Linked DNA regions of Mus musculus. The protein of the gene in region 5 binds, or shares a complex with, the protein of the main gene of each other region. Links are inferred from orthologs where the notes say so. Each region holds a gene or a part of one and is shown on either strand. Other genes may lie near its edges. The genes, in order: Plaat3, Mapkap1, Rgl2, Rgl1 and Kras.

The links.
Region 1: the proteins of Kras (region 5) and Plaat3 are in contact, whole or in part, in a crystal structure (PDB 7C41), measured with the Homo sapiens proteins. The link is inferred for Mus musculus from reciprocal best matches to the Homo sapiens genes KRAS and PLAAT3. Residues at the interface, in NP_001356715.1 of Homo sapiens: Ala11, Gly13, Lys16, Ser17, Tyr32, Asp33, Pro34, Thr35, Ile36, Thr58, Ala59, Gly60, Gln61, Asn85, Asn86, Lys88, Asp92, Tyr96, Lys117; in NP_001121675.1 of Homo sapiens: Leu65, Tyr66, Asp67, Val68, Ala69, Gly70, Ser71, Asp72, Lys73, Tyr74.
Region 2: the proteins of Kras (region 5) and Mapkap1 are in contact, whole or in part, in a crystal structure (PDB 7LC1), measured with the Homo sapiens proteins. The link is inferred for Mus musculus from reciprocal best matches to the Homo sapiens genes KRAS and MAPKAP1. Residues at the interface, in NP_001356715.1 of Homo sapiens: Ile21, His27, Val29, Glu31, Asp33, Pro34, Ile36, Glu37, Asp38, Ser39, Tyr40, Arg41, Leu56, Glu62, Glu63, Tyr64, Ser65, Ala66, Met67, Asp69, Gln70; in NP_001006618.1 of Homo sapiens: Phe280, His287, Gly288, Phe289, Ser290, Leu291, Ile292, Gln293, Lys307, Lys310, Arg311, Arg312, Lys313, Gly314, Ser315, Phe363, Glu365, Ile369, Val374, Met377, Leu378, Ser380, His381, Tyr484, Glu487, Ser488.
Region 3: the proteins of Kras (region 5) and Rgl2 are in contact, whole or in part, in a crystal structure (PDB 8B69), measured with the Homo sapiens proteins. The link is inferred for Mus musculus from reciprocal best matches to the Homo sapiens genes KRAS and RGL2. Residues at the interface, in NP_001356715.1 of Homo sapiens: Ile24, Gln25, His27, Val29, Glu31, Asp33, Pro34, Thr35, Ile36, Glu37, Asp38, Ser39, Tyr40, Arg41, Lys42, Tyr64; in NP_004752.1 of Homo sapiens: Ile651, Arg653, Glu660, Asp661, Gly662, Ser663, Val664, Tyr665, Lys666, Ser667, Ile668, Leu669, Lys685, Lys686, Asn688, Arg689.
Region 4: the proteins of Kras (region 5) and Rgl1 are in contact, whole or in part, in a crystal structure (PDB 7SCX), measured with the Homo sapiens proteins. The link is inferred for Mus musculus from reciprocal best matches to the Homo sapiens genes KRAS and RGL1. Residues at the interface, in NP_001356715.1 of Homo sapiens: Ile24, Gln25, Glu31, Asp33, Pro34, Thr35, Ile36, Glu37, Asp38, Ser39, Tyr40, Arg41, Leu56, Tyr64, Met67; in NP_001284600.1 of Homo sapiens: Ile651, Arg653, Asn660, Gly661, Asn662, Met663, Tyr664, Lys665, Ser666, Ile667, Met668, Lys685, Asn687.

The regions. Positions count from the first base shown.
Region 1 is NC_000085.6:7,574,458-7,577,970, reverse strand, and holds part of Plaat3 (phospholipase A and acyltransferase 3), read right to left. Parts: intron 3,035-3,513; coding exon 2,932-3,034; intron 1-2,931. UniProt on the Homo sapiens protein: Exhibits both phospholipase A1/2 and acyltransferase activities. Shows phospholipase A1 (PLA1) and A2 (PLA2) activity, catalyzing the calcium-independent release of fatty acids from the sn-1 or sn-2 position of glycerophospholipids.
Region 2 is NC_000068.7:34,622,652-34,625,468, forward strand, and holds the end of Mapkap1 (target of rapamycin complex 2 subunit MAPKAP1), read left to right. Parts: intron 1-771; coding exon 772-897; 3' UTR 898-2,307; downstream 2,308-2,817. UniProt on the Homo sapiens protein: Component of the mechanistic target of rapamycin complex 2 (mTORC2), which transduces signals from growth factors to pathways involved in proliferation, cytoskeletal organization, lipogenesis and anabolic output.
Region 3 is NC_000083.6:33,928,668-33,932,705, forward strand, and holds the start of Rgl2 (ral guanine nucleotide dissociation stimulator-like 2), read left to right. Parts: upstream 1-1,226; 5' UTR 1,227-1,377; intron 1,378-1,577; 5' UTR 1,578-1,618; coding exon 1,619-1,774; intron 1,775-1,780; exon of another isoform or gene 1,781-2,276; intron 2,277-3,058; coding exon 3,059-3,142; intron 3,143-3,372; coding exon 3,373-3,551; intron 3,552-3,653; coding exon 3,654-3,704; intron 3,705-3,786; coding exon 3,787-4,038. UniProt on the Homo sapiens protein: Probable guanine nucleotide exchange factor. Putative effector of Ras and/or Rap. Associates with the GTP-bound form of Rap 1A and H-Ras in vitro.
Region 4 is NC_000067.6:152,555,707-152,559,219, forward strand, and holds part of Rgl1 (ral guanine nucleotide dissociation stimulator-like 1), read right to left. Parts: intron 1,882-3,513; coding exon 1,697-1,881; intron 1-1,696. UniProt on the Homo sapiens protein: Probable guanine nucleotide exchange factor.
Region 5 is NC_000072.6:145,247,419-145,251,529, forward strand, and holds the start of Kras (GTPase KRas), read right to left. Parts: upstream 2,814-4,111; 5' UTR 2,631-2,813; intron 1-2,630. UniProt on the Homo sapiens protein: Ras proteins bind GDP/GTP and possess intrinsic GTPase activity. Plays an important role in the regulation of cell proliferation.

The DNA.
Region 1 (3,513 bases), on a different chromosome or scaffold from region 5:
GGAGCTATGAACCCAAGAGGTAGACCCAGGAACCCAGGGAGCATCACCAGATTGGTCCCCTGCCAGGAGCAGCAACAGCACCCCAGTAACCAGGACAGGACCAGTCTTTAAATATAACATTGACACAGCAACAAACAATAGCCGGAAGGAAAAGAACAGAGGCTATGTGACCCCTCTTCTTTGAAGTTTTAGAATAGGCTGAACTCTTCGAAAACATAAAATGTTTGAACCCAGCATAGTGGTTTAGTCCCTTGACCCCAGAATTCATGAGACAGGCAGACAAATCTTTGTGAGTTCAAGGCCACCCTGGTATATACATAAGTGATGGACCAGCCTGACTCCATTATAAGATTAAAAGCCATCTTATTACAAGGTCAAAATTAAGTTCATTTCTGTGTTCTGCAAAACCTGGATTTGACCAGGTTTTGACCCATTTTCTGGAGTTGAACATGTTCCACACCCTCTACTCTGACCTCTACCATGATATTATAGGATGTTCTGCCGCATAATGTTGAAATGGTCAACCAAGTTCCTATGTAACCAAAATGCCTCAGAATCTCCCAACCCTTGAAACCTGCCCAGCACTGCAGTTTGTGGCTGTATAAACCCCACCTTCTCTTGTGCTCCATGATATTTTGATACTTTCTCCCCACTTTATGGAGATAGCCCTATCTGACAGAAAATAAAGCTTGCTTTATTTGACCAAAATATTTTGGGTAATGGTCTTTACTCTCATTCAGTGGGATTAACATGAGTTCTAGACCATCTGGAATGATATAGTGAGACCTAGTCTTTTGTTCTGTTTTGTTTTGAGACAAGATCTATGTAGCCCTGCCTGTCCTAGGACACTCTAGGTAGACTAGGATTTGAACTCACAGCACAGAGATCTGCTTGTCTCTTCCTCCCCTCCTGAGTACTGGTATAAGAGGAGTGCACCACTACACCCACCCAGTCATGAGACCCTGTCTTAAAAATATGAAAATTGAAAACAGCTATGTTTAAGACATAAGACTTGGTCTATCACAGTCACTCTTGGATTGGGGAGGGACTCACAAGTCTCTACCCCTTCCTCCTGAATTATTGTCTAGGGATGGATTCTAGGGGCAAGACAGTCATTGTCTTCTGTTGTGTACCTACGGACGAGCCCACCAGGTTCCATCAGATAGTTCCAAACCTAGGGTCACACAGAGGACCCTGGTTAACTAAAAAAGAGGGGGGGGGAGGGAAGAAGGAACAAGAGAGAGAGAGAGAGAGAGAGAGAGAGAGAGAGAGAGAGAGAGAGAGAGAGAGAGAGAGAAAGAACATAAATATAGTGTTACAATTCTGAGGGAGAAGGCTTCCCCAATGAAAGAGTTACAGCTCTGCTCTGGCAAGGGGAAGATCTCCCCAATGCAAGTGTTATGGCCTTGCCTTCCTATGTCTCATCATCAGCCTTATATTTTCTAAATATTTGTCCTTCCACACTTGCTCAGACACTTGAAGGTCAGACAGTCCTCTATGCCTAGGGGCAATCTAGAATTGTATTAGAGATCATCTCACTGCTGATTGGTTGTAACAAAGATCTGACAGCCAATCACTGGGCAGGAAGTGGAGGGTAGAACTTCCAGGGAGAGAGAATGATGCAAGAGAAGAGAGAAGAAACAGGAGATTCAAGAGCAGACATTTATTAGTTTGGTAGATTTCATCTGCAAGTGCCCCAGCTTGGACTCAGACTCCTCTGCACTCTGCACAGAGAAGGCTGCTGGTGAGAACTGTATAAATGTCGTGGAAGGTGAGACTAAGACTAGGTGATACATTGGAACTTTTTAATGAAAGCAGGGGAATTTGTGATGTGAAACCCCAACATCTCTTCTATCTGAGAGAGATCACTTAGTAAGAAAGGGACACATACCCTGATCATGCCATCCACCCCAGCAACCAACCTCCTGGAAAGGGAGAACTGGGACCAGGTTAGGCCAGGTAGGGGGAGGTAGAAGCGAGTCCTGTAGTTGAGGAATGAGTTCTAGGAGGACTAAGGGCTGCTAATGGGCTCAAAGTGAGTGACAGGAAGATTTGATTAGGGTGGACTGTGGCTGGAAATGTCCAAGGATGGAGGAATGGGGTCAGGAGAAGAGGGCCAGCCGTAGCCTTGAAGACCTCTGTTTCTGGGGTACCTTCACCTCCAAGAGTACCAACGAGGTGCTGATCACTTCCTTGGACTCAGGAAAACATTTGCAGTGGCCAAAGAGGAGACTCACCTAGTTGTTGCTGGTGGATGGGGTGCTGAGTGATTGGTGAGCTGGGAGGTGAGTCTGTTGTGTGTTGACTGGAGATGAGGAATAGGATCCCAGTACGGCTCAGACCCCAGTGGGGAGCAAGACAATGGAACAGCTCTGTTCCAGTGGGGAAAGGTTCCCCAGCAAGTGTTACACCTCTGCTGGGAATGATACCCTGGCAGTTGGGAGCCAAGGAATACTACAAAGTCACACTGCACAACAAACCTACCTCACACAAGAGCTTTGTTGAGAGGGAAAATCTCAGACCAGAAGCATCAGGAAACTGAGGGAAAGGCAGGCTTTATGATTTCCAGGGTGGGGATTAGTAGGATTTCAAGTTCTGAGCTCGGGCTTTTTACTCTGTGAGGCAGAGCTTGGCCATCTGCATCTAGAGGGGCTGGATCCAGCCATTAGATTGTTCTCTGTGTGGAGCCTGGAAGTTGAAGGTCCTTAGGGGCAGGGTCTGGACACTCACACACCTTGAGGGGCTTACACACTGGGCTCCAAGGAACAAAGCCAGAAAGCATCATGACACATCAGACTGCCTGCACATAAACTTAGAAACAAGTGGTTGACGGAGAAGCATGGACAGCATAGGGGCACCCGGTTGCCCACAGCTCCCCACATCCTTTCCCAGTCCCTGGACCCAGAACAGTGAATGCCCTGGTGTTCTTACTTGGAGGAGCCAGGTGGATCACGTATCCATCACCAACATAGATGGCCCAGTGTCTGTACATAGGGCGGAAAATCTCAATCAGGTCTCCAGGCTTGGGTTCTGGCTGCAAAACCAAGAACAGAACTATTAGTGATGGTGTGAATCCTTGACACCAGGACAGGCTGGGTTAAGAAGATGCAGCCAAAAGTTCCCCCAAATCAGCTCCAGTAGGCAGATCCATGTGGATGCAGGCTCTGCAGGTCTGATGCTGGCTCACCTCACAAAGCTGAGATGCAGGCCTTCAGGGAACATGCTACCACCCCATCCCCAACTTCACCCCAACCCCTGCACGTACTATGACTAAAAACTGCAAACAGGGCTGAAGAGACACCTCAGCAGTTAAGAGTGCTTACTGCTCTTGCAGAGGATCCAGGTTAGGTTCCCAGCACCCAATGGTTGCTTACAACCATCTATAACTCCAGTTCCAGGGCATCCAATGCCCTCTCCTAATCTCCACAGGTAATACATGAAGATAGTACACATACATACATGCAAAACACTAGTGCACATGAAATAATCTAAAAAAGAAACCTGTAAAATGCA
Region 2 (2,817 bases), on a different chromosome or scaffold from region 5:
CCACGCCGGCCCAAAGCACCCTTGCCAACCTACATCCTGATTTATGACTCTCAGCTGGTAAGTTGGCAAGGCTGCGGCCGGGTGAGGCGGGCCTTCTGTATCCGCATGCCTGCCTGTACCTCCTACTGTTGAAAGTTTGGAGGGACATTGTCAGAGCCTCAGTCTGCAACTGCCCTGCTCAAGAGCCTCTAGCTGCCTTCTCCAAACCAAGGCTGGGCTTTCTGGTGAGGCTTCGGAACGTGTGAGAGTGAAAGAATTGTGTTTTCACAAAAAGCCAGGCAGGAAAGCCATGTCTGAAGGTCCACAGGTGGCCCAGAAAAGACACACACAGCCAACTGAAGTCAACCCTGACCCCAGTGGCCTCAGCCCTTGCAGTCCTCTGAGCCTCACTTTGCGTACTTGGTCCTGGCTGGTAGGTGCAGCGGACAATAGAGGACACATGCCAGGCTATCAGGAGGCAGAGGATGTGCTGCCTCGCGTGTTTTCCTCGGGAGCTGGCTGGACATGTCTGAGAGTAGGCAGCCCTCTGAGACACCGAAGAGCACAAGCCTAGGGGTGGGTCAGCAGCCCCACTGCTCAGCAACTGAGAAGCCTGCACTGGGCCTCCATCTATATGAACCGAGGGCTTCCTCCTGGCCTGCCAGACTGCACCGTGTCAGAGCAGCTGCTCCCAGGATCCCTTGCCCAAACATGGCCTCCCTTCCACCCCAAGCTCTGCCCTGGGGGAACAGCTGGTGCTGCCAAGTGATGCCGTGTCCTCTTGCTTTCTAGGTTAACTACATCCTGGAATCACGAGCGAGCACTGCCCGAGCTGATTATCTTGCTCAAAAACAAAGAAAACTGAACAGGCGAACAAGCTTCAGCTTCCAGAAGGAGAAGAAATCAGGGCAGCAGTGACACTGGCCTCTAGTCTGGTGCCACAGCCCAGGTGGCCTGCAAGGCCAGGTGGACCGGAGTCCACCAGCATCCTGTAGTGCCGAGACCCGCAGGCACAGGCTGCTGGGCTCTAGGGGAAGGTTTAGAGGTAGGGGTGCGATTGGACTGAAACTTGGCAATGGTTCTAAGTAGCAATGCCCAGGAGCCAGGCCACCTCCTGGAGGGGCTGAGTGCTGCTCAGCCGTGTGTCCTGCCTGGCAGTCCCAGCAAGACTGTACATAGCCATGCCAGACATCTCCTTGCAACTTGATCAAATTTCTTAAAGCAAACAAAGAACAAAAGTGTACATTTCTCTTTCTTTCCTTTTAATAAACAGGTATACTCTTTATCGTGGTTGGTATGATGGACCATTCTTTGGGGTAGAGGATTGACTATATTATCTTCCTTAAAATCTGTTCCCATATTGAACAGGCAGATTACAAAAGCTGTGGTTGGAGCTCTCAGAAGCAATGTTTAGGGCTTAGCCAGTAGTTTAACTGTGCCATTTGTTTAAATAAGTGATTTGCTTTGAGAATAGCATCTTACTAAAGTTAGGAATTGAGGACCTAGCATGTGCCCAGCGTAAGTGCATGCGTGGGTGCGTGCGTGCGTGCGTGCGTGCGTGCGTAGCCTTCTAAGGCCTTCTCAACATGTCAGCGCCTGTGATCTGAGAGACAGGTGCTGGTAATATAGTGTGACAGTGTCTCCAAGTGGTGCTGAGTTCCCAGCCAGGGTCTTCTCTCATCTCCTCATAGCAAGTATGATATGGTCAGCCTGCCTCTCTGACCTATCTCCAATCCTCTTACCGGTGCCTGCTGTGGAGCCAGACGCTGCTGCTGCTGCTGCTGCTGCTGCTGCTGCTGCTGCTGCTGCTGCTGCTGCTGCTGCTGCTGCTGCTGCTGCTGCTATACTGAATCAGGGAGAAGGAGAGCAAGCCCTGGGCAGAAAAGGCAAGGTACCCAGCACCCTGACACCACACCACACCTCTGTCTACACCAGATGCCTCTGCAGACCTCACCATGGTCCCGCCTGTGGCAGCATCCTTGGGCCAGGGCCACAGCCGATATCTTATACGACCTGTGTTTAGGACATTTTTTAAATCATTGTGTCTAAGCATCTCAGAGTCAAGTGTGCTTCTTTGCAAAGGGGTCGACTGAATGAATGCCTCTCTCATTCTGATCTGTTCAGCCAACAGGAGCACCCTTTTCTAATGTCTTCCATTCCTATCTCCCCCCAAAAGAAATATTATTTGTAGCTTGCTCTGTATTTGAATTTTTAGCAATTTTATATTTAGATATCTTTGAAATTGTAAATGACTAATTTGGTCATTAAATCTTGTCACATATTCAATATTAAAATACTAAAATAAAAGTCATAAATACCCTCTTTTGTATATTGCTTTGAATTCCTAAATCCTTGCACACACGGTGCTGAGATGGTGATGTCACAGCAAGTCCCCGGGGGTGACACCCTGGCATTTGATAATGCAGCACACACTGCTGATATGGTGATGTCATAGCAGATCCCTGGGGTGACACCCTGGCACTTGAAAATGCCCAGCCATGCTAAGCTGTACACAAGCCACGTCTAGTCGTCCTTTACTCCCGGGACGCTGGGATCTCTGGCTCTGCTCTCCACAGTTGCTGGCACATGGCTCTCAGCTGGTTAGGTTCTCAGGGGTTTGAGTTGCCTGGTGTCACAGTCCACGGCTGTGATAGGTGGGCGGCGGTGGCCCTCACTCCTTGGGCAGTGGTGAGCCAGCCTGCTGGTTGGTTGCATTTGCCATGAAGACGCTTCCCTAGGACATCTGATCTCAGGGGTGTCAGTACTGTCTAGCCTAATCTCTGAGCCTCAGCCAGCACCTCTGGCTACAGTGCTGTCAAGCCCCATGGTGTCCCTATT
Region 3 (4,038 bases), on a different chromosome or scaffold from region 5:
ATTTGATGCCCACAGTCGGGAGGCAGAGGCAGTGGATCTCTGACATTTCCATGCCAGCCTGATCTACAAATAGGGAGTTTCAGGTCAGTCGGGGTTACTTGGCGGGGCTTTGTTGAGAGAACTAAATATAAGAACACACATGCGTAGAGTCCCAGGGTTGAGAAGAACCAGTGTATGCGCCAGAGAGGCGGGTTCATAACCTGTGGCTCACAACCCCCTTTAAGTCCATCGGAAATACCAGACATTAGGATTCACAACAGTAGTAAAGGCAGTTACGAAGTAGCAAAGAAAATAATTTTACAACTTGAACTGCGTTAATGTTAAGAAGGTTGAGAACCACTGGCCAGGGGATTAGGACGAAAGGTCTTCATAGCATCTTAAGATTCTAGAGACCTCAGGGACAGCCCACAGCAGTAGTCTAGAGACGGAAAGGTCCATGTGTCTCCCTCGCGGACTAAAGCCTACCTCTCCAGCTCTCCATTCCTACCACAGCTTTTCTTTTGCCTGGTCCACCTTTACCATCTCCGGGCCTGGTGGGTCTCGGCCCTTTACGAATGTCCCCGTGTGGTTCGTCCTCTCCTGTTCGCCGGTCCTCGTGAGCTAATAAAGTCTTTCCGAGTTTCCATGCGGGCCTCTCATTCTCCCGTTTCCAAGCACAGCCAACCTCGGTCACCTCCCGGTCCTCGTCTCGCACCCGGGAGACGACATAGCCACCGTGGGAACCGCGCGCGCTCGGGCGCACGGTGAGAGCCGGACGCCCGGAGCGACGGACCCGAGTGGAACCGGAAGCGCCGCACTAGCCGGCTTCCGCCCCCTCCCCGCGAGTGGGCGGGCATAAGGGCGGCACAGAAAACCCGGCGCGGATTCGCTCCGTTGCACTCGTGCCGGGGCGGCAGTGTCATTCTCGAGCTGCAGTAACGGGGTCGCGCCACTGCTAGGGCACTTTCCTCGGCAGTTGCAGCGCCGCTCTGGTTAGAAAAAGTGACTTAAAATTCCGTGTTTGCCTTCCTGTGGAGGCTTGAGACAGGACCCTGGTCTCCAGCGTGTCTGCTGCGAGACGCGGGCTTCAGAGCCACCGAGTGGGGCTGCAAGGGACAGCGGAGTAGTGCACCTGCAGCCTGCGTCCCAGCCCCTGGCGTCCAGCACTCCCCTAGTCGCTCTCCCTGGCTCCTGTCCTCACTTCCTTCCCTTTTTGGCTCCTGCTGTCGGGCGGACGCGGGGAGGGGGGAAGCGGAAAGGGCGGGAGGGCCCGGGAGCCCGGCGGGGTGCAGGAGGGGGGCATCGCGGAAAAGCCGGGGAGGGGACTCGGTAGAGGGCCAGAGACCGACAAGAACAGAGGCCCGGGACCCGCGCGCAGCCCTCGCCCTTCCCGAGCAGGTCAGAGCCGGAGCACCGGGTGACCCTGCCCATTCCGCACTAGTTAGCCCCCAAGTCCCAAGCAAGCACCGAGGGCTTGGGTTTCCCCACTCCCGTATCTCCCTCCCCCAGCCTTCCTCAGGGACTCCCACCTAGGTCCCTTCTTGTCCGTCTCCCCCACGCCCGTCTGACTCCACCCAATCCCACCCGTCTCTCCCCAGGCGCCCCCATGGCCCGACCCCGCTGATTGCTTCTCTCGGCCATGCTCCCGCGGCCCCTGCGGCTGCTTTTGGACACGACCCCCCCCGGGGGAGTCGTGCTGAGCAGCTTCCGGAGCCGGGACCCCGAAGAGGGTGGGGACCCAGGTGGCCGGGCCGTGGGCGGGGGGCAGGAGGAAGAGGATGAGGAAGAAGAAGAGGTGAGACGCGGGTGGCGGGAGGCAGGGCATTAAATATTTCTGAGACTCTCCTCCTTTCGGTGTCTCTGGGTCCCTCGGTCTCTTCCTCCCCGCCTCACTCGCATCCCGCCCGCCACACTCTCTCTGGATATCTGTCCCCTGGCTGCGGGTCCTGGTGTCTATGAAGTTCGCCCTGTCTGTCTGCTCGGAACCTGCCCGTAGGAACCTGCCGGAACCAGAATGGCTGGCTGGCAGACGGGCTGACTGTGCCTGCGGGGCTCAGGCCCTCTTTGCCCATACCTGCTTAGACGGGTGCCACTGGGCAGTTGTATCTTGGTCCCTGTCTCCCTCCTCGTTTTTTGTTTGGCTGGGAGGGGTTTGTTTCCACAGTAACCAGCTCCTCAGACTCTAGGATTGGGGAGGGAACCCTCAGATTTCGCCGCCTCTTCCCCCACCCCCTGGTGCTCAATAGAGGGCAGCAAGCCAAGAGGTTCCGGCACCTGGAGAGATGATCCCGGGATAGGTAGAGCGTGGTCATCTTCGTCCAAAGAGACTGATAGGATGTAGTCCGCAGCAAGATTTAGGGATTCAGGAGGGTCCAGAAGTTAGATTCGGAGCCCGAGGATCCAGACTCCTGGGCCCCGACATTGGTAAAGTTAGGGTGACTAGCAAGGCTGGTTTTTCGGGATCGGTCGGGGGAGGGGCTAGGGCCACATGACTCTGAGTCTACCGCCCCCCCCCCCCATCATCCTTACTTCCCCTTCTTGTAACTGGGATTGGAGCCGCCACCTTCAGGGGGTCCCCAGTGCTGAGATTAAGTGGAAGCTGTATTGGGGACCTGGGGAAAAGGAGTCTCTGCGGAAGGACTAAATTTGGGCTCCTCTGGTTCTGTCAGGGAGGGCGGGCCTTGTGAAGTTTCAGCTTCTCTCTGCTTCAGGTCTCTCTTCCTTTGGCTTTGTGCCTCTTCGGGCGCGCTCTGCTCCTGACTTTGCGCCCTGCTTTTCTGCGTTGGGCTCAGCTGTGGGACAAGGGGGGTTGGAGGTGGCCAGAAGAGGGGTTCCTGCATTCAGTTGAAACCCTCACTGCAACCTCTTCCATCCCACCGAGCTCTGAGGTGGCCGGGGGGGCTGTCTGAGCCCCAGGGTGGGGTAGACCTGGGGTCACCAGTACCCTCTACCCCTCGCACTCGCTGGTATTGTCCCCCGCCATCACAGGTGAGGGGTGCAGAGGGAGGAACAGGGCCTGGGGACAATGGCTGGGGACTGGAGGTGCTGTGGAACTCACTTCCTCTTCTTGCTCCTCCAGGCTTCTGTGTCAGTCTGGGACGAGGAGGAGGATGGTGCGACCTTTACTGTCACAAGCCGCCAGTACAGGCCTCTTGACCCCTTGGTGAGATCACGACTTTGAGGTCTTGCCTCTCGGTTTTTAATTTAATATTTATTTATTTATTTTCCGGAACATTAGGTTGAAGAAGTTCTGGTAGTGTGAAGGTAGTTCTGTGTTGTGTGATTTAAGCCATTTCTGAACCGGGGCAGAAATAAGCTAGATCTGGATTATCCCAGATGTCTAGCAGTCAGATTGAGGAGGCCCGTCGGTGAGACACCCTCCATGTTCTCCAGGCTCCCTTGCCTCCACCTCGCTCCTCCCGACGGCTCCGCGCTGGCACTCTGGAGGCCCTGGTCAGACACCTCTTGGATGCCAGGACAGCAGGGGCTGACATGATGTTCACTCCGGCCTTGCTGGCCACCCACCGGGCCTTCACCTCCACTCCTGCCCTGTTTGGGCTTGTGGCTGACAGGTCAGGGGCCAAGGGTTAGGAGGCTCCTGGATTCCCTTTGAGCACCCCCAGCACCAGCGGGGGCTGGAAAAGCCACAAGGTAGACCCTCTCCTCATCCCCAGGCTGGAAGCCCTTGAATCTCATCCTCCCGGTGAGCTAGAGAGGACCACAGGGTGAGTGGCCCTGTCTGAACCTCAGTCCCCTCAGGGTGCTGAGGCTAGACCTCTGACCCCTGGCTGATTCCCCTTCTCTCAGGGTAGCCATCTCTGTACTTTCAACTTGGCTGGCCTCTCACCCTGAGGATTTTGGCTCTGAGGTCAAGGGTCAACTTGACCGGCTTGAGAGCTTCTTGCTTCGGACAGGGTATGCAGCACGGGAGGGTGTTGTGGGGGGCAGTGCTGACCTCATCCGAAACCTCCGGGCCCGGGTGGACCCCCGGGCCCCCGACCTTCCTAAGCCCCTGGCCCTTCCTGGCGATTCCCCTGCTGACCCCACGGATGTCCTGGT
Region 4 (3,513 bases), on a different chromosome or scaffold from region 5:
TATAAAACAATGCAGAAGCTGTCCAGCTTCTGCCAAGGAGAGTACAGGGTAAGGACTAACATCACTCACTCACACATTCATTCATTCATTCATTCATTCATTCCTTGTAAATCTGGCATGCACCTAGAATGTCACTACGTGTGAAACCTGTGATCCTTTCTCTCTGGGACCTGGTCTATGCTTTCACTGCTCCTGCCTGAGTCTCCAGGGGTTATGTACAAATCTCTATGCACAGTTTTACTTTTGCAAACACACAGGAAAGCTCACTGCTTTCCAGAGTATGACATGGGGGCTGGGGGGTGAGAGGCACAAGGGAACTAACTAAGCTCCCAACATTCCTCTTCAGGAATGGAGCCTATACTTCATAAACAGGGCCTGGAGCATTCTTGATGACAACTGCCCACACTTAGGAAAAGATTCATTCTTGGGTATTGCCTAAAAGTTTTTGTGAGGTCAGGCCACCTCCCTAGTCCCTGCCTCTGCCTGCCAAAAGAGCTCTGCCCTCCATTCCCTGAGCCGGAGAGGACCAATGACTGGTCCCACTGGTTCCCCAATTAGGCATGGGGCCAGAGGCAGCCCCAGTGGGGCGAGCTGGGCTCCAGTGCAACAGCAGCAGCAGCAGCAGCGTTTTCTACCAGAGCACAAAGCTGGGCGGGCAGGCGGGAGGAGGCCCTGAAGGGAGCTGAGGTCTGGCAGCTGGAGCTGAGCTTCCAGGGTATTCAAGCATTCCCGGCAGATGAAGTCATCTGAGATACAAAGCCTTTGGCAATCTGAGCCAAATGATGCAAGTGCATTCCCCTTCTCTGGTCCCCAGTCCATACAAACCACTCAACAGGTACCGGGTAGAATTTAAAGTCACTGTATTTGCTTTGGCTTTGGGGTAGCATCCCTTATCTGCGTTAGGAGCCATTTCCTTTCCCTCACTGAGGAAACCGGACATTACTTCAAGGAAATGCCTACCAGAAGTTCCAAGTGGGTCAGCTGCCATGGCAACTGTTACCCAGTGCCTCGGTGAAAGGCTATATCATCACGCTGGAGCGCGATGGAACCTCTTGACTAATTTCTGCAGAGCCTGGCAGCCAGCACACTCTATGGCCAGCAGTGGTGGCTCTGCATTTGTCCCTGGAAGCTCGAGGTCAGCCTCCAATAGGAAAAAACAGCCTCAGAGACTTCCTTCGATTCGGTCACTAGAGACAGTCGATGTCAGCAATCGGGGCTGCCAGGGGACATGACACTAATGCTTTTTAGGGAAAAGGAGGAACACCTCTTCCAAGCTTTTGTGAGAGGGACGTGGACTTGAACCCTTGCCAGCCACACAGGGTTGGTTGGTTGTCGCCCGTTTATATCTGATAGAACACATTAGGCAGAGAAGAAGCCCATTCATGTTGATAAGAGAAAGTTTAAAAAAAACAAAAACAAATCAAGAAAACCCTGTTCCTGGTAACAGTAGGCACCCTGGGCAATTACTTAGCTTCTCTGAGCTGGTTTTACAATTTAATCTTTAAAATCATAAATCCAGCCTTGAAAATCCCTCTTTTCACTCTGAAACCTTAGGGTTCTGAGGTTCACAGTTCAATAATTTTATACCTATCCCAATTTTCTGAGGGTACCAGGGTTTCTTATTGAGTCAATGAATGGGGAGCCCCCACATTGCAGAGCCCAGTAGAGGTTTCCCTGGGACCAAACAGGTACTCACTGTCGGAATCCACGTCCTGCTTTTGAAACTGTTCAAGAAGGTTCTGTGCTCTCCTCTCTGGGTCAGAGCCAGGCATCATCTGTTTGAGGTACTCCAGCAGCTTCTGAAGGCAAGGGAAGTGAGGGGGCTCCCGGAAGTCTTCCGCACACTGGTCAAGCCAGGCCCTCAGGATGGAAGCAATGGCACTGGGAAGGAGAGATGGAGACACAGTGAACACAATGCTTACGGGACTCGAGACAGGCCCTGGACCCCACAGCTGGTAGCTGAAGAGGGTTGGGGAGACTAATAATGTTTTGTTGTTAGAAAATCCAACCAAGGCAGACGAAAGATGAGAAGAGGATTTACTGAGTTCCAAACAATCCAAACACAAGCCACTAACTGTGCATTTGCTCAAATTAAAGACCAGAAAACCAGGCTATCAAGATGACACAGTAAATAAGAAACTTTCTACCACGCCTGACAACTGAGCTCAGTGATGCCTGGGTCCCACACAATGTTAACAAGTTGTCCTCTGACAGCCTGCACTGTAGCATGCTTCAGCTAGCCCTTCAGACTCCCACACAAATAGATGAACAAAGGTAATAAAACAGAAAAGTAGCCTAAAAGTAGCCGTATTGATAACTTAGGACATAACTGGCTACCACTAGGCTAGAACTCATCTGGAGTAAGAAGTCTCCAGGTTAATGGGGAAATGCCTGTTTAATTTTAAAAACATCACTAGGGTTTTGGCACAAGGACCAAAGCTTTCCTCATAAAGTTATCCCTTTGTTTCTCAAATTATAATGAGACGGCGTGTCAGGAACCACTGGGTGATGGAGTCACAAGGTTCCCCGGGTGTCAAAGCACAAGAACAGCCAGATACGCTCTGGGTGCTTGGTGCGCTACAGACACCTCCTGAGTAACTAAGGGTGTTGCCTGTAAGTTACGGGGAGCTCCTCTCTCTAGAGCAGAGTCAGAGCAATGACAAAGGGGTAAACTGCAGCAGGGCCATTACTCCACGCTTCATCGTCAGAAGACTTCAAAGACACTTCAGTGTTAGTTCCACACCAGGCTAGTCTGCCTCCCTAATAAAACAACTCCATCGAAAGGGATGTTCACTGATGCTGGCTGGAGAAGGTATCAGGGAGAATCAATAAATTCCTGTGCATCCCAAGGCAAAGAAACCACACTGTCTTAGCTACAGTGACAAAACTCTTTCACCCACCCAAAAGAGTGTATGTGTGTAGGTCAGAGGGTAACCTATGCCACTCCTTAGGAGCCATCTGCCTTGTCTGTTGAGATGGGTCTCTCATTGGGACCTGGGGGGTCACCGATAGGCTAGGATGGCTGGTCAGCAAGCTCTAGAAATACTCTAGGCTCTGCTTCCGCAGCAGTAGGATGATAAACACATGTCACCACATCCAATTTTTTTTTTAATCCACGGGTGCTGGGGAATCTAACCCAGGTTGTAGATCTTGTGCAGCAAGCATCTCACAGGCTGAGTGATCCCTCCAGAACCACAAAAATGTTTTTTGAAAGGGTTTGGGATATAGCGGTGGTACAGCATCTGTCTAATGTGCACAAGTATTCTTTGGATTTGTTCCACAGAATCAGAATCAAAAAAAGGAAAATTATAATTATCTACTACACCTACACAAATTGTTCATACAATTAAAAGCTAGAGTAGAAGTTAGTATCCAGTGTGCAGAAGCCCAGCAGCCTGTTACAGTGACTTAACTCCCAGCTGCACTTTCCTACCAAAGAGCTGAGCTGTAATCAGGACCGGCTGCCACAAAAGTCCACTGAGAGTTAACTCAGCTTTTGGAGGTCAAGTACCA
Region 5 (4,111 bases):
CATTTTAATCTATAAACTATCTGTGGGAAATGGGTTTAAATATTTGGTATAGGATCAGATCAATTTTAACATATAATCCTTTGAGTACTAAAAACAGTACCTCTGTACAAGGAAATAAAATTGAATGAAATTCAGAGATAAAGACTATTTTTGGCAAGAAAAAAAATGTAAAGAACATAAAAGAGTTTCTCAGTAACCTCTGTGACTTCTGCCTTGCTTATAATACACTGCACTCCCAACAGGTGCACTAAGTGCTGGCACTGTATACAGTTAACAGCCCTGAATACAACACTGTTGTTTCCTAGTCTGCTTTTCCAAACATTTTTGAAATAAAATTAATATATACACTTTATCTCCTTTCCCTTGTAGAACATATATTATTGCAGATAAAGAGACAAATGGATACAAAAGAACTGCACTAAAGTCACAATTTTGTTATAGAATAGATAGTTCCAGGTCAATGTAAGTATATACAGTGTAAACAAACACAAAATACAGTCTACTTATTGACCACCAAGAACTGTTCACACAGGCACCAAGAGGGGAAAATGCAGTTTGTTTTTCCAACACACTGTCTTCCTTACCCTGTGCCTGAAGCCCTCAGTAACAGGACCACAAGGGCAGAAAACCATTGTTATCAGACCTTCATCCAACTCCTGCCCTACTTTGCCCCACCTATCCTTTCTGGCTGCTTGTCTGGGGCCATCCTGTGAGCCACTACTAACCTAACTTACCTGTTTGCCTTCAAGTTTTGTAACAAATGTAGACCATGGCAAATGGGATAGATGAAAAGAAATCACATGGAAATGCGACCTTTGCCTCTCCCTCCCGCAAACAGTGTGGCTAGCGTACAGGAGCAATTTTGGGTCCCTAAAACTTTGTGTGGTAGGGAACAGGATTAGGAGGTTAGAACCGTTTTTACAGCAATTGTTTTTTAGCCTTCTTACTATTACAAGGACAGTTGGTTCTCTAGGCCCTGTAATCACAACAAAGAGAATGCAGATGCAGATATGAGATGTAGATATGAAAGAATACTGTTATGTCCTATGAAGCACAATTAAACAGATTGTTAATGTGTAAAACAAAGCTACTCTAATTCTTTGTTCTAGAAAATTTATTATTTTTTCATTAAAAAATGAATTCATGTTACCAACAGGCACTTTATTCCTAGTTCTAAATAAACTGAAAAAATGTGTTACTTCTAATATAGTAAATATTGGCATGTTCCCCCCCTTCAAGGATTTCTGAGACCCTCAATAATTTGTTTATAGGTGCAAAGGGGTCCCACAGACTAAAATGTTGGCTAATTTAGGGTATACTGTGGACAGATATTGAATCATTTACACCGTAGCTTTTGCTGAATAAAATTTATTGTCGGGTTTTTAAAACTTAGTAATATTTAATTAAGTCCACTAGAAAAAAAAGAAGTCTTACTCAAGAAAAACCTTAAGCCTGAAAGGTTCCCCCACCCACCCACCCCCACCCCCAGTTACAAAAGGTAATAAAGGGGCTCAATTCCAACCAAAGTGGAAAAATTAAATTACTATCCGCCATCTCTTAAAACCAAGGATGCTTGTGAATAGCTACAGTTTCAAATTAAATATATGGATACCTAGCGTATCTGATGTCTATTGTCTATCACATGAGGGGTCAGCAATCAGGCCCTCGGTGGAAGAGTGACACTGGTCATTTGGTGGCAATTTCGAAGTGATTATTATGAGCAGACTTGTTCAACATTTCCTCTCAGATGATTCCTCTACGACAAACACAGCATGCCATTCTGCTTTTAAGTCCTTGCCTTGATGATCACCTTGCTTTAACGGGGCTGGCTCAGGACTTGAGCTACTACATGGGCCTAGGGGGATTTCAGAGGTCGGCCCGAATGCTACAATCAACTCTGGAGTCTGGAAGGGGCAAGGGACAAACCGCAGGACTGAGGGGAGAGGGCAGCAGGCGATTCAAACTTGACGCTGTGAGCCGAGCTGCCTGCGCTCCACTCGGGGAGAGTCCCCTGCCTCGGCTCTCGCCCTTCGTTCCCCCTGTGTTTTCACGACACAAAGCCACTCAGACTTGCCGCATTAACTTTTCTGCTTCCGTGCGGGTCGCTCGCGGGCTTTCCGCGCAGGGCGTGGGCCACCTGTTCTGCCAGCACCATCCCTACCTCCACCTCCTCCTTTGTGGCCGCGGCAATGTCACAGCCCTTACAGGCGTGGGGGAGGGGAGCGGTCGCGAACTCCGCGGCGGACGCCTTTCCCCTCCGAGAACCACGACGCCCTCCGGCCACCGGGTCCGAGCACCTCCCGCCGCGACCTCCCCCGGGGCCCCGCAGCCCGGCCAGGGGAAGCGGCGTCCCCGCACAGCCCGCGCGCCCGACAAGTTGAGCCGGGCGCGGGGCGCCAGGCGCGGATGCCGGGTGCAGCAGAGGCCGGGCGCGGAGGCCGGGCGAGCGCGGAGGGCCCGCCGCGGCCGGGAGGAGGAAGGAAAGCCGCCCCGTCCGGGAAACGGCGGCCGCCCGACCTCGGCGCCCCGCGCCCGCCGCCCCGAGCCGGCTTCATTCAGCGCCGCGGCCCCGCCCGGCCGCGCCGAGCTCCGCACCGGGCAGCGGCCCAGGAGCGCCGCCCGCGCCCTACCTCTCTCCGCGCCGCGGAGCCGCCGCGCCTCAGGCTCCCGCCGCCGCCTTCAGGCCCGCGCCGCGCTCGCTCCGGGTCCGAAATGGCGCGGGAGCGGGACTCCGGGCCGAGCCGCCGCCGCCTTCCCCTGCCGTCTCAGCCGCCGCCACAGCGCTGCCGCCTCAGCCGCCGCGGCCGCCGCCTGCCGAATCGAGCCCGGAGTGCGCGATGGGCCCGGCAGGCGGGCGGGCGGCCGCAGAGCAGGCCGATCGATGCGCTCGGTGCTCCGCGCTGCCTCGGCCGCGCGCGCGGGAGGGAGGGAAGGAGGGAGGGAGGGAGCGGCCGCAGCGCTGGGAGCCCAGGAGAGCGAGGGCGGGAAGCGGCGGCCAGGACGGGCCCGGGCGGGGGCGCGCGAGGGTGGTGCCGAGAGGGCGTCGGCCAACGCGGACCCCGACCCGGGGCTGGCGCTCCCGATAGCCCCGCCTCGCCGCTCGTTCGCACGCGGCCGCCCGCCCCGCTGCTGCTCCTCCGGGCGCGCGCGGCGCCGCCGGGGGCGGACCCCAGCCGCTGGCCTCGCGGTCCCTTGGCCGGACTGTCCGAAGCCTGCAGGCTCCCAACCCGGACCTCCTCTTTTTGTTTTGAGACAGGGTCTCTCTGTGTAGACCAGGCTGGCCTTCTGCCCGGATACCACATGGAGAGCCGCTTTGTAGGAAGTGCCCTCGCTCCACAGGACAGATCCGAGGAGACTTCTCAGGACGCCAGGTAGAAGACATTCATTCATCAGTTACCACCGCAGAGTTAAACAGGGAGGCAAATAAGCGTGCGTTCCTCTAGACCGCACTGATGCCCCTTCTAAAAAATGCCATCAGTTGAGGCCTGGAGAGCCAGGGCCCCCGCCCAAAAGACTGCCCATCCACCCACCCACCGACCGCCGTCTGTCCTCACAGCCCCATCACCAGCCACGCGTGAAACTGTTACACTAGCTCTCTGAAGTGATGTCACTCTTCTTGCACCCTACCTCTCCCTCCCAGCACCAGGTGGGAGGCCCGGGAAACAGGAGGAAGACAGGGAAAGAAAGAACGTGCCTACTCTGTGTCAAGTTAACTGCTAAATGTTTTTGCACATAGCGTATTTAATTATCACAACGCCCCCGCGAGTTAAACATCATCTCGACTATTTTACAGATGAAGGAAGAAATTTACGGAAAGGAAGAAATGGCGGCCACATTCACACTGTTAAGCTGAAGGAAAGATACTAACTCAGTATCTCAGTCTGCCTTGAGCTCCCGCGTGGCTCACAGTTCAAGAACATAAAGGCAAAATTCTAAAATTCTATGCTGCCTTTGACCACTTGCTACCTTACCTTACCTTCGTGTTTCACCTTGACTCCTGGCTGCTCCGAGAATGGGGAGGTTGGCCTTTTCCTCTGAGACTGTCCTCAAAAACTGTCTCCTAACTACCAATGCCCAGAGCTTCCTATATCATAGGCTTTAAGCCTTGTTT